3 linked regions of the Lepisosteus oculatus genome follow. The protein of the gene in region 1 binds, or shares a complex with, the protein of each later gene. Links are inferred from orthologs where the notes say so. Each region holds a gene or a part of one and is shown in the gene's direction. Other genes may lie near its edges.

The links.
Region 2: chchd6a (region 1) and apool share a complex: the UniProt entries of both Homo sapiens proteins name them as parts of the mitochondrial contact site and cristae organizing system (MICOS) complex. The link is inferred for Lepisosteus oculatus from reciprocal best matches to the Homo sapiens genes CHCHD6 and APOOL.
Region 3: chchd6a (region 1) and micos13 share a complex: the UniProt entries of both Homo sapiens proteins name them as parts of the mitochondrial contact site and cristae organizing system (MICOS) complex. The link is inferred for Lepisosteus oculatus from reciprocal best matches to the Homo sapiens genes CHCHD6 and MICOS13.

The regions. Positions count from the first base shown.
Region 1 is NC_090699.1:61,089,286-61,093,036, reverse strand, and holds the start of chchd6a (MICOS complex subunit mic25a), read left to right. Parts: upstream 1-1,452; 5' UTR 1,453-1,596; coding exon 1,597-1,680; intron 1,681-3,043; coding exon 3,044-3,152; intron 3,153-3,566; coding exon 3,567-3,624; intron 3,625-3,751. UniProt on the Homo sapiens protein: Component of the MICOS complex, a large protein complex of the mitochondrial inner membrane that plays crucial roles in the maintenance of crista junctions, inner membrane architecture, and formation of contact sites to the outer membrane.
Region 2 is NC_090703.1:46,869,515-46,873,265, reverse strand, and holds the start of apool (MICOS complex subunit MIC27), read left to right. Parts: upstream 1-1,569; 5' UTR 1,570-1,637; coding exon 1,638-1,649; intron 1,650-3,000; coding exon 3,001-3,105; intron 3,106-3,751. UniProt on the Homo sapiens protein: Component of the MICOS complex, a large protein complex of the mitochondrial inner membrane that plays crucial roles in the maintenance of crista junctions, inner membrane architecture, and formation of contact sites to the outer membrane.
Region 3 is NC_090724.1:7,891,004-7,894,754, reverse strand, and holds the start of micos13 (MICOS complex subunit MIC13), read left to right. Parts: upstream 1-1,212; 5' UTR 1,213-1,388; coding exon 1,389-1,417; intron 1,418-2,564; coding exon 2,565-2,721; intron 2,722-3,241; coding exon 3,242-3,293; intron 3,294-3,751. UniProt on the Homo sapiens protein: Component of the MICOS complex, a large protein complex of the mitochondrial inner membrane that plays crucial roles in the maintenance of crista junctions, inner membrane architecture, and formation of contact sites to the outer membrane.

The DNA.
Region 1 (3,751 bases):
TGGTATTTAGGGAGTAATAAGGGTTTCTAGTTCCCAATTTTCAAATTCCCTCTCGGATTGGGACGCTCTGTAACCTAGACATACTAAAACGTTGAAATGGAGTGTAATTAAGGCTGTCAAAATCAAGTAAACATGAGATGTGAATTAATGTGCAGACAGATTATTAGTTTACTAGTTTTAAGTTTTGATGGTTCAATTAGTCAGACCAGCATAATTGTCAAAAACGATTTAGTGCCAACTCTGAAACTCTTTGTTTTTGTATATAATTATAATGGTACTATATAGTAGCCAGCAGCCATATCACCCTGCAACTCACAACTGGCAACCCACTGAAGCTAAGCAGGTGTGAGCCTGGTCAGTACCTGGATAGGAGACCTCCTGGGAAAAACTAAGGTTGCTGCTGGAGGAGGTGTTAGTGGGGCCAGCAGGGGGCGCTCACCCTGCAGCTCATGTGGGTCCTAATGCCCCAGTGTAGTGACTGGGACTTATATATATACTGTAAAACAGGCGCCGTCTTTCGGATGAGACGTAAAACCGTGGTCATTAAAAATCCCAGGGTGTTTCTCGAAAAGAGTAGGGGTGTAACCCCGGCGTCCTGGCAACATTTCCCATCAGCCTTTATCAATCATGGCCTCCTGACAATCCCCCTCTATAAATTGGCTTCATTACTCTGCTCTCCTCCCCACTGATTGCTGATGTGTGGTGAGTGTTCTGGCGCACTATGGCTGCCGTCGCATCATCCAGGTGGATGCTGCACATTGGTGGTGGTGGAGGGGAGTCCCCATTACCTGTAAAGCGCTTTGAGTGGAGTGTCCAGAAAAGCGCTATGTAAGTGTAAGCAATTATTATTCATTAATTATATGTAAAACAATTATGTCTATCCTTTATTAAATGTAATTAAAACCACCAGACTTCCAGTGTCATTTAATTCTTGCAATGACACCTTGTTAGTTTATTAAAATGTAGGCCTGTGATGTCCAACAATAATTACAAATGACAAATACTGTTTAGAAACCAGATTGGTTGCATCTCTAATAGCATAATCAGCTGTTGACGGGAGGAAGTATTTCTGAACAAAAACGGTGCATAACTTATCTCTATGTACATAATAATCACTATTAAATCATTTAGAAACGGTTCTAAATATCTCAAAGGCATTCCTTTTTCATTTTTTCCCGAGCCGATTTTGTGTATAGTTATTGTACTTGCTCCCGTTCCCGTTTAAAAGATAACGAATGGAAAGATGTATCCGTTTTTCAAGCCGACGCTACATAAAATGTTCACTGTATGGCTGAGATAATACAGGCTCACAGGGATAATGCACGTTAACAAGCCCCGCCTGAAAGTTGTTGCTTTTACTGAACTACAGTTCCCACTTGAATCCGGTTCCCTTCGGTAGCATTCTGCAATGTGATTGGGCTTCCCATGTACGTCTACCAATTGCATTTCACAATACTGGCATGTTAAAAAAATGACTTTTCATGTGGAGCGAAGGCTGAAAGGTCCATAGATTTTCAAGTGGTTGCAGAGGAATATCAGTGTTTTAATAATCCAAGCAAAATAACCGAAGGTCGTACTGAAGGACAGCATTTTACAATGGGAGGGAGTGAGAGTGTAACTAGAAAGGTGTCTTTTGGTTTGGACGAGGAAGACAGGGTGAGGGTTTTGCACGGAATCAAGGTAAGGAAGGAACAATTGCCAAAAAGCAAACTTATTGGAAAGGTCCTGCACGCTAAGGAGAACGTATTACGTTTATAGCAAATGCAAAAATGGAAACTGAGCTTTATCTGGTTTTTAGTCACCTCTTAAGTCTAGCTCGACAACCTTATACTGGGTACAAACGCCTGGAGATGCAATCCTGTCTTCTAACATCGGATGGAGCAATTTATGTGGGCTAGGGAAGCATCCCATAAGTCATGGCTTTATACAGTTCTCGGCACCAAACCAAAGTTGACCTCTGATAAATGCTTGCAGGTTTGCAAGCTGTCTTGCTTTGTAACAGGCAAATCGGATGCTGACTGCCTCAAATGCTGCCAAATTGCCGAAACTGACAATGCCAATGTTACTGTTAAAGCAAAAACAAACGGTCATCCTGTAGATCAACACGCCAAAACAAAAACAATAGCTGTTTTCTCATACAGGCCCAATTCATTTTTATTTGAAATATAACATTAACTTTCTAAATTACTCACCAAATAAACGTGGTAATTTGTGTTCCAGTTTTGGAGCATGTTTGCCTTTTAATCTCGTATTTCACTGTCTTGAAATGCCTGTAATGCTATGCTTTCATCAAGTGCTCTTCAACTTGTGTAAGCAGTGGTTACTATTCACAATACAGCGATTGCATCGTTTATGATTGCAGGGTGTTGAGGTCCTTGTTTTTTGTGTCATCGAAAAATATGTACCTCTTTAAGCTCAGTGTCTCGAATCTCCAGACGCAGGCATAGGTTTGGAATTAGTGGTGCAGAGTTGCGAATCTCACCTGCTGGTCCTTAAGCACCACTTCCAGCAGCGACCTGATCTGGTGTAGCTGCTTTCTGTTCAAGGAATGTCTGGGCCCAAAGTTGCTTCTCTTCAAAAACGTGTTGCAATAAGGTCCTGAGGTGGCATGATTTTTGAATGTTGTACATTTTTCTGACAGCAGTTAATTTACTTAACACAGCCTTGAGACTTGATTGTTTGTTCAGTTCAGTTTATTGTCATATGCACAAGTGCATGCATATTTGCATGTGTGCTCCATAAGAAAGACATTAAAAGAATCACCAAAAACATAAACACAGAACAGCAGCAACAACAACAAGTTAAATAACATACAAAGCCAGTGGTAGGGGTAGAGTTCTGACAGTTTGTGGGAAGAAACTGTGTGAAAACTGTGGGGGGTTATGTGGAACATTGTTATGTGGAACATTGTCCAGTTAGCCTTTAAAATCGTGAAGTCAGCACTGAAAAGAAGTGCATTACTGTCACTTACACGTGCTGTTTGTCTACATGTATGGGTTCGCTTCCTGGACAAAATGATAACACACTTGTTTTCTCTGGGCAGTTGTCGGAGGATGTCATCAGGAAAATGAAAGAAAAATCAGCCGAATCCAAACCCTCTGCTTCAGACGAGTGGTCGTCCTCTCAGACAGAAAGCAGTAAAGACTCCTCAGGTCTTGTCTTGTTTGTGTGAACTATATTTACAAGTTACTGTTTCATCAATAGGTGTAATAATAGAGATGGTACAAAAAGTTTGAAAAGAAGAATTTCAATAAAAAAAAATAAAATAGCTTTTCAACAATTTTGCTTATTTCTAATTCCATCATACTGATGAGAGTGATTCGGGTGAACTGATACTTTTGCTTAACTGAAGATTAGTGAATGAGGGGCAGATGCTTACCTGTTGATTGAGTTTTCTTTGGAGAAAGATGTTAAGATTACATTAAATGCGAATACATTTAATTAATGTGAAAGCACTTAACAAACAGTGAAACAAAATGTGTTGGTGGTCAAACATTTTAACAACATCACATTAATCTGAAAATGTGAAAGAAAATAATGAAGATGTTTTCTTTTGTTGTTTGTAGGTTCAAAGATGCATTCGGGACACACAGTCACAGTGAAAGAAGAGGAATTATACAGAAGGTGGGTGTTTTCATTGGTTTTAATTGGTTTTAAGCGCTTTGAGAAGCTACCTTTAAAGGTGCTATATAAAATAAAGTTTATTATCATTATTATTATTTTTATTATTAGGGCCGTGCGGGTTTTTTAT
Region 2 (3,751 bases), on another chromosome or scaffold:
GACACGTCCTATCTGGGTATATCATGTCCTGATATGAGACCTTTGTTGCTACAGCGGTGCCAGGGTGGCATGGAAGCAAGGCGCCAGTCGTGATATACACTGCCGCGATATACCTGAGATATACGTTGGGTCCCTATCATGCCATGCTGCGGAAGTCTTGTCGCGATAGTATGCCGCAGTTATGCGTTTGGCAACAGCGGAAAAAAGGAAAACGTGCCTTAGAAAATAAAAAACCATAGATCTTACAATCACGGTGATTTTACATATATTACAACTACAGGTTTATGTCATAGATGGTTAACTTGTTGGTATGCGTCATGTGTTAGTATTATTCACATCTAAGGAGGCTCATATGCTTATGGATATTGATTGACTTTATAATGTTACGGATACGAGCTAAACTGTAACAGAGCGCTTGAACTCGTCAGACGGGGTCACTGGAGGTCAAAGTCACCGTGCATGGTCACGTGATCACCGGAAAAACAAGGCTCTATATCTCGGGAACGAAAGCAGCACAAACGCTACTGTCAAAGGCACAAACCGGCACAAACGTAGCACTAACGAATGAGGTGGGTTTCATCATTTGTGCTGTCTGTAGGGGGGCCAACTTTACGGAGCTAGCAAATCGCCCTAAATCACCTGATTTTTTAAACAAGATTAAGAAGACTTCTAAGTTATTGACTAACAAACTAAAATATTTAATTAAAGCAACTTTACTCCTTGAGGGTTGATGGGTATCCTGAGTTGTATCTTAAATAATCTCTAAACTACTTAATTTAACAAATCGCCTGTTTAATTGGCCGCAGTTTAATAGAACTGGATATTTAAAAGTCGTGATGCAATGTCTATTATATTTATTATACTGGGGCTCTTCAAGGCTGGACACCCCTGGTTAAAGGAATACTGGAATGTGTGAGATGTTAATTTAATTTGATCTATGTAGTCCATTTGGTAGTTAGTAGCAAATTGATCTAAAGATCTCATCCAGCTGTGTCTTGAGAGAAGCCATGGTATCAGCTTCATCAACGTGATTGGGCAGCTTGTTCCACTCTCCTACCACCCTTTGTGCAAAGAGATGCCTCTGTGTCCATCTGTCCCCTCTGGTTCGTGATTCACTGTTCATTCACGAAGCTGGCTCGGTTTTTTTAAAGCAACAGCACCTCAGGAGAGAAGTTATTTACCTTTTCCAATTAAGTCAATAATGAGCGCAATCTGTTCGTAATAGCTCAGCTGGAGTAAAAAGCTGTAGACACACTGGGTTTCCAGGAAAACGTTTGGGAACCCTTGCTTTAAAATACCCGTTTCAATCGTTATTTACGATTAAAACTGGAAATCGATACACTGATTCTGTGCAGCACTAATAATATCTATTACATCGTCAATCAAAACAACCTTGGTTAAATTACATTAGCTGTCATTTTGGACTATGTGCACGGTCGTTATTCGAGCGGAGGCGGAGAATAGTTTTTTTTTTAAGCCAGTTAAAATAACAAGGCGAATGCTTTATTTCTGATCTAAGCTCTTCATCGGCGAAGGAGTTCGAGCGAATACAGTCTCTCGCAAAACGCATTTTGAACGAAGGAGGGTTTAAAACCTTTTTGTCCTTCGTGACGAGTTGTAGCGGTGGGCGGAGTGACATGGCAGCCAAGGTGAGAGGGGAGCTTTTCCCCCGATATATTTGCAACAGGAGCTTTCATTCACTTATTTGCCCACCAACCCCTTTTTATAAGAAAGAACGGTTAAGATCTTATTTTATGTTAAAGTATTATTATATGTTTGGGTTTATTTAATAGCATTTAAATCGCTTTCGAGAGACTCATTACTGTCAGCTACTGTTCTGTCATTTCGCCCGAGTAGATTTGGAGAAAAAATTATTGATAGTTAAAAACTTAAATGAGAAACTTTTTTTTTCTTTTATTGTAAGGAAACAGTGTGATTCTTTTGTGACGCAGCTGGAGATTGCCGGCATTTCACTTAGTCTAAAGTGTGCCAAGTAATCATCAGTCTTGTTAAACTCTAATCTGATTGACGTACTACATGCATTTTTTTCTAAATATGTAGGAAGCTATATGGTATATAAACATTAAAATCGCATGACAGTTTTTATCCGTATTGTTGTATTTCAATTATTTTGTCAGTTATAAAAACATTTAGACCCACGTGAATGCAGCACATCAATCTGAACCTCTTTCGCCTTGCAAAAAACATGTTTTTGCTATGTTAAAACTGCATAGTGGAGACTTTAAAATTATGATTATCAAAAACTAAAGTATTATGAAGCATGTTTGCGCTAGAAAGTGATATTAATGCTTGATCACCCATCAGATTGTGAGTCACATGTTCGGCAGTTATTGCTGAGTGTGTCGTGTTCAGTAAGACTATCTCAGACAGGACACGTAAGAACAGTAATAAAGTAGCTAAACTGCGTTTGATTACTACAACTAATCTGTTGAATTATACTGTCATTTGGATGAGACGCACTTCTGCGAGAACGGCAGGTGGCAGCAAACTTGAAAATTTCAGTTGATAACGTAGCTACAGCGTTCTGTGGGTATTTAATAAAAATAGTTCAGGTGCGTAGCTGCGTTAGTATGCGTAGTCTGCGACTAGGTTTATTTCATGCTGAAAAGAGAAGAGAGAAAACAACGTTTCGGCGTGTCACACGCCTGAAGAAGGCTTCACAGCCGAAACGTTGTGTTTCTCTCTTCTCTTTTCAGCATGGAATAAACCTGTTACTTGTTCATTTAATAAAAATGTTGCTTAATCCCTTGTTGCAGCAAGATGCGTTCAAAGCGATCGTGCTCTTGTGTCCAGTTCTCGTCATTATCCCAGAGGTCTTTGAACACGAGAACGTTTGCAAAATCAAGGTGCCCCGCGTAACTGCTGTGCATAAAAATCTCTGTCATATAATTGCCCTCCCCCGCCTCCACACACCACAGTTTTCTGCAGCGCTGCGCTAGTTAACCTACTGCCTGCGGGGGGCGCTGCTCTGCTCCGCAGGTGCTGGCGCTGGCGGCGGTTCCGGGGGCGCTGGGGCTCGCGGCCCTGCGGGTGCGCGCGGCGGGGGACCCGCTGGAGAAGGAGAGGCTCGTGTCCCCGAAGCAGGTACCCTCATTGTGTGCTCAGGGCACGCTCTCCCCTGCTCCTGGGAACGGCTCTTCATTCCGCCTTCGATCTCTTTAGTTTCTGGATCGGAAGTGGACTTAATCGGTCTTAAGTGCTGCTGTTTCCCAGTATTTAGCCATCAGGTGTTAAACCCGGAGTCCTCTTCAGTATTGCTGACATCAGCCCCTAGAGCCACTTTGTCCAGTAAGAGTTTGTGTGGGCAGCCGGAGCCTATCCCAGCAAGCAACAGGTGCAAGGCAGGCGACGCCCTGGGCAGGCTGCCAGTCCATCACAGGGCAGACACTCACGCCAGGGCCAGTTTTCCCAAAAGCGTATAAACATACCAGTATGTTTTTGGACTGTGGGAGGAAGCCCATGGGAACACAGGGAGAATATACTCACTCCACACAGATGGGAGTCTGGGAATTGAACCCAGGACCCCAGCGCTGCGCGGCAGCAACGCTAATGACTGCGCCTCTGTGCCGGTCCTGCGGTCTCCCAGATTACATGAGGAATGTCCTCCATCAGGAAAGGCCTGGACGCCGTGTTAATACAGACCACGTAAGTGAACAGCTGGTTCAGATCGCATCATCCAGTCCAGACTGAATACCGGTGATCTAGCTGCTGCCTGAGAGTGAAATTGGCC
Region 3 (3,751 bases), on another chromosome or scaffold:
CCTGGGGTCCATTCTGAAGCATCGTCTGTGTGGAGTTTGCATGGTTCCCCTTTGGCGTTTTTATCTGGAGCTCCCCCCACACACACACACCTTCCAAAGACACACCAGTTAACATAGCCGGCATCTCTCGGTTGTTGCCTTGTGCAGGTGTGAGCGTGTCGAGCAAAGAGCAGCGTCCCCACAGATCTGCAGTCCCACCTCCAAATGCCTGTTACATTCCCCGAGTGGAACAAAACTCCACACCTTTCATGTACTCAAGCCAAAGCAGTTGTCTCGTTCAAATCGCCCTTAATACGGAATCGGTTAAGAACTGGAAAGAGGAGAAACAAAAAGCTCACGTCTTAAGTATTTACATCATTCTTGCCGCCAGTGAACAGGTGCGTGGAGGAAACTCCCTGCTTGGTATTTTTACTCCCTGAGTGAAGTGAGGCGCTCCTGATTCGACTTGCTGCCCTCCTGGTAGTCACACAGTTAAAACTCTTTGTTTTGCTTCACGTCTCCGAATCGTCTGTGTGTCTAACCAGTGACAGGCTGTTGGCAAATCGTGTACCGATAGTAGCGTTTTGCACATTATCACGTTGAAACCTACTGGGAGATAAAGGTTAGCTTGAAAAATGAAAACAAGTTAAATGAATCGATCCGCTTTTCTTACCCAACGTGTTAGGCATCCGTAAAATCTAAACATAATTTATTTTACAAATAAAATAGTGACTCAAAGACTCAATAAACCGATTGAATCTGTATTAGAACGGTAAATTAAGGAGTCAGGAATGTTTACCTTGTAAGAATTTGATATCATCACAGTTACAACACGCTGTTGCTTTTTATTTTGTTATATAATTTAAGAGTAATTCCTTATTCATTTTAGTAACCCAGTATGAATTTGGACAGGAACAGTTCATAGACAGGTTTTGAGTATGTAATGGTACGAGTTCAAGAGACTGTAGTTCACTACAGAGTGAGGGTTGCGCACAGCCTCACGGTGAGAGAATCTGTAAAGGACTACATTTCCCAGAACCCACTTGCAAAGATTAGTGCGGTCTTCGATTATGCATGTTTGAAGAAGTCTCTACAAAAATAAATGTTGAGAATGCATATTAATTGAGGGAAAGAATTATGAAAGTCCTAAATTTAAATAATCTTAATTTGAAAGAATCTGCTTTGTCCGATGTAAAACGGTAACCTCTAAAGGGGAGTCGAAGGTCATCTTGAAAAAACTTTATTGAGATATACGGCAAACACACATTGGTACTGCCTTCTCGATGTCCTTGTAAATGCGAATGCAGACTACGGTTTTTAAAACACCTGGGCTGCAAATATATTCGTTTATTTAACAATCCGTTTCTGCTCGGTCATTGTTACGTTTGTTTCTACTTCGTTTTTGGCTCATGGCTCCCAGGATTTTCCCATTAATAAAGTAAGTTGATTCCTCCGGCCTCCTTGTGACAGCACTATACAAAGTTCAAGTTTCAATGTATGTCAATTTTTTCTGCTAGTTGCTGTGAAAATAATGTCACGATCCATGTGTAGGCGGTGAAATCTAGTACTACGTAGATGTGAAATAAACTAGCAGTGAAATTCAAGCTCGGCTGTTCTGAACATGACTTGAAAGTGCGTTTTCTTTTAATCGTATCTGTATACAGTCCTTAGTGATAACAAACTGTGCGTTAGCGGTGTAGGTTTAATGCTCAGTTATAGCAGATTTGTTAAACTATTGCTGTGAAGTAGTGATATATAAAGAAATACCAATTTAAATAACTACGCCATGGAGCTGCGTTCCTAACTCCTAAACTGCACACATCTGTGAACACGCCCAAATTACACTTCCAATTAACCCCCCCTCTGAGTGGTGAGGACGCTGGAGAACTAGAAGTCTCCCTAGCTTGGTTGAACCTAGATTTACCATTACAAATTAGGATTGTTTAGCAATCAAGTTCAGCATCATATTGAAATTATGTGCTGGGATAAAGCATATTAGGAAAATCTCACCCAGCCAGTTTTTAAAAGGATTTCAATATCACCATGAGAAACAGACCTGGATGCTTGTTCCAGACTCCCACAGCTCTTTGTGTAATGTGGCACTTTCTGTTGTCAATCTTAAATGCACTTACCCTAAGATTCAATGGTTGTCTTGTTAGTTTTTTGGATAAAAGCAACAGGGTGACACAGTGGTTAGCAGGGCTGCCTCTCAGAGCTGGGGTCCAGGGTTCAATTCCTAGGGTTCTGTCTGTGTGGAGTTTGCATGGTCTCCCTGGGTTTGCATGGGTTTCCTCCCACAGTCCACTCCCACTGGTAGGTTAACTGTCTCCTGGAAAAATTGGTCTTGGAGTGAGTGAGTGCGTGTGTGTTTGTCCTGTGATGGACTGGCATCCTGTCCAGGGTGTACCCTGCCTTGCGCCCAGTGCTTGCTGGGATAGACTCTGGTTCTCTTGAAAACCCTGTACTGGCTAAATCAGTTAGGAAATGGATTGATAAAAGCAACCCGTTGTACGTTCTCATTCAATCCATTTATTAAAAACAAAGGCTTTCATTTAGATGTTGTGTGGTTTGTCTGTGGCATGCAGGCTGGTCACCAAGGTGGGTGTGGCCGGCGGGGCAGTGTACGTGGCCTATGACCAGAGGTTGCTGGGGGACAGTGTCCAGGGCTCAGAGGTGCTGACCAAGGCCAAAGCTGCCATCCCCCCTGCTGTGGACGAGTGGATGAAGTACTTCGGATGGGAGGTGAGGCCAAGATCTTGTGTTTGTGCCGACATACTGGGTGCTTGTGAAGCAGCCAAGCACTGGTGCGGTTTTACTGTGCCAGTGTCGTGCAGTGCTGTATTTTGGCTTTCATGATTTCTTTTAGAGAGATAAGTCCCATCTCCGAACCCTCAGGTGTAGGGCACAGCCCTTGTGTTTCGAAAAACATCTTTCATTCCTACGTAATCAACATAATTATCTGGATAGGAAGTATAATTACTCCGGTTTTGAAGGCCCACTTTTTGGTGGAAAAGTCCCACATCCAGCACAAGAGATCAACTCGGGGACTGTATTAAACATTAACAGAGGTGCAGGAAGTAAACTTCCACCAAAAACCCTGGGATCACAAGACCCCGAATCAAGAACTGACTAAATAAAGTTTGTGATTCGGAGACAAGGTCCTTTCTAAAGGCTGTAACTAGCTTTACTGGTGTTGGTGCTGAGAGGCTGTTGTCGATGCAATGTTTAACCATCATGTTCTCCTCTTCCCTTATTACTGCAGCTTCCTTCTCCTCCCAAAATAGAGTTTTCCGCTTTGGAAACGTGGAATACCGGTAAGAGCTTACGTAGTGCAGGAATGCTACAGCAAACAAACTCTCAGTTTTTCTAGTTTTGTGTGTACTAGCAGGTTCATCCTTGATCTGGAAAGGGGGAGCAGTCCCAGTTTCCCAGACCGGTTATTGAATCTCGGTAACCAAATAAATTCAGTGACAGTATAGCAAAACAAAAATGTACACATTTTGAATTGGGCACAAAAAGTGTGAACTTTGTGAAAGTGCTATAAGTAGCCATAGTGTTGCAAACCCCAGGTCTCGGCACGGGCGAGAGCGAGAGTTCACGAGAATTCTGACACGGGGAGGCCCTTCCTGCTCACTAGTCCCTGTAATGACTGATGTGATTTGTGAGCGAATAACTACAGGTTGTGCAGCAGACATTTCACCCCCAGGCATCTTCCCAACATGAGTTAACGAGTAAGTCTCATTTATCGGCAAAATCGTCTCGAAGTTGAGAG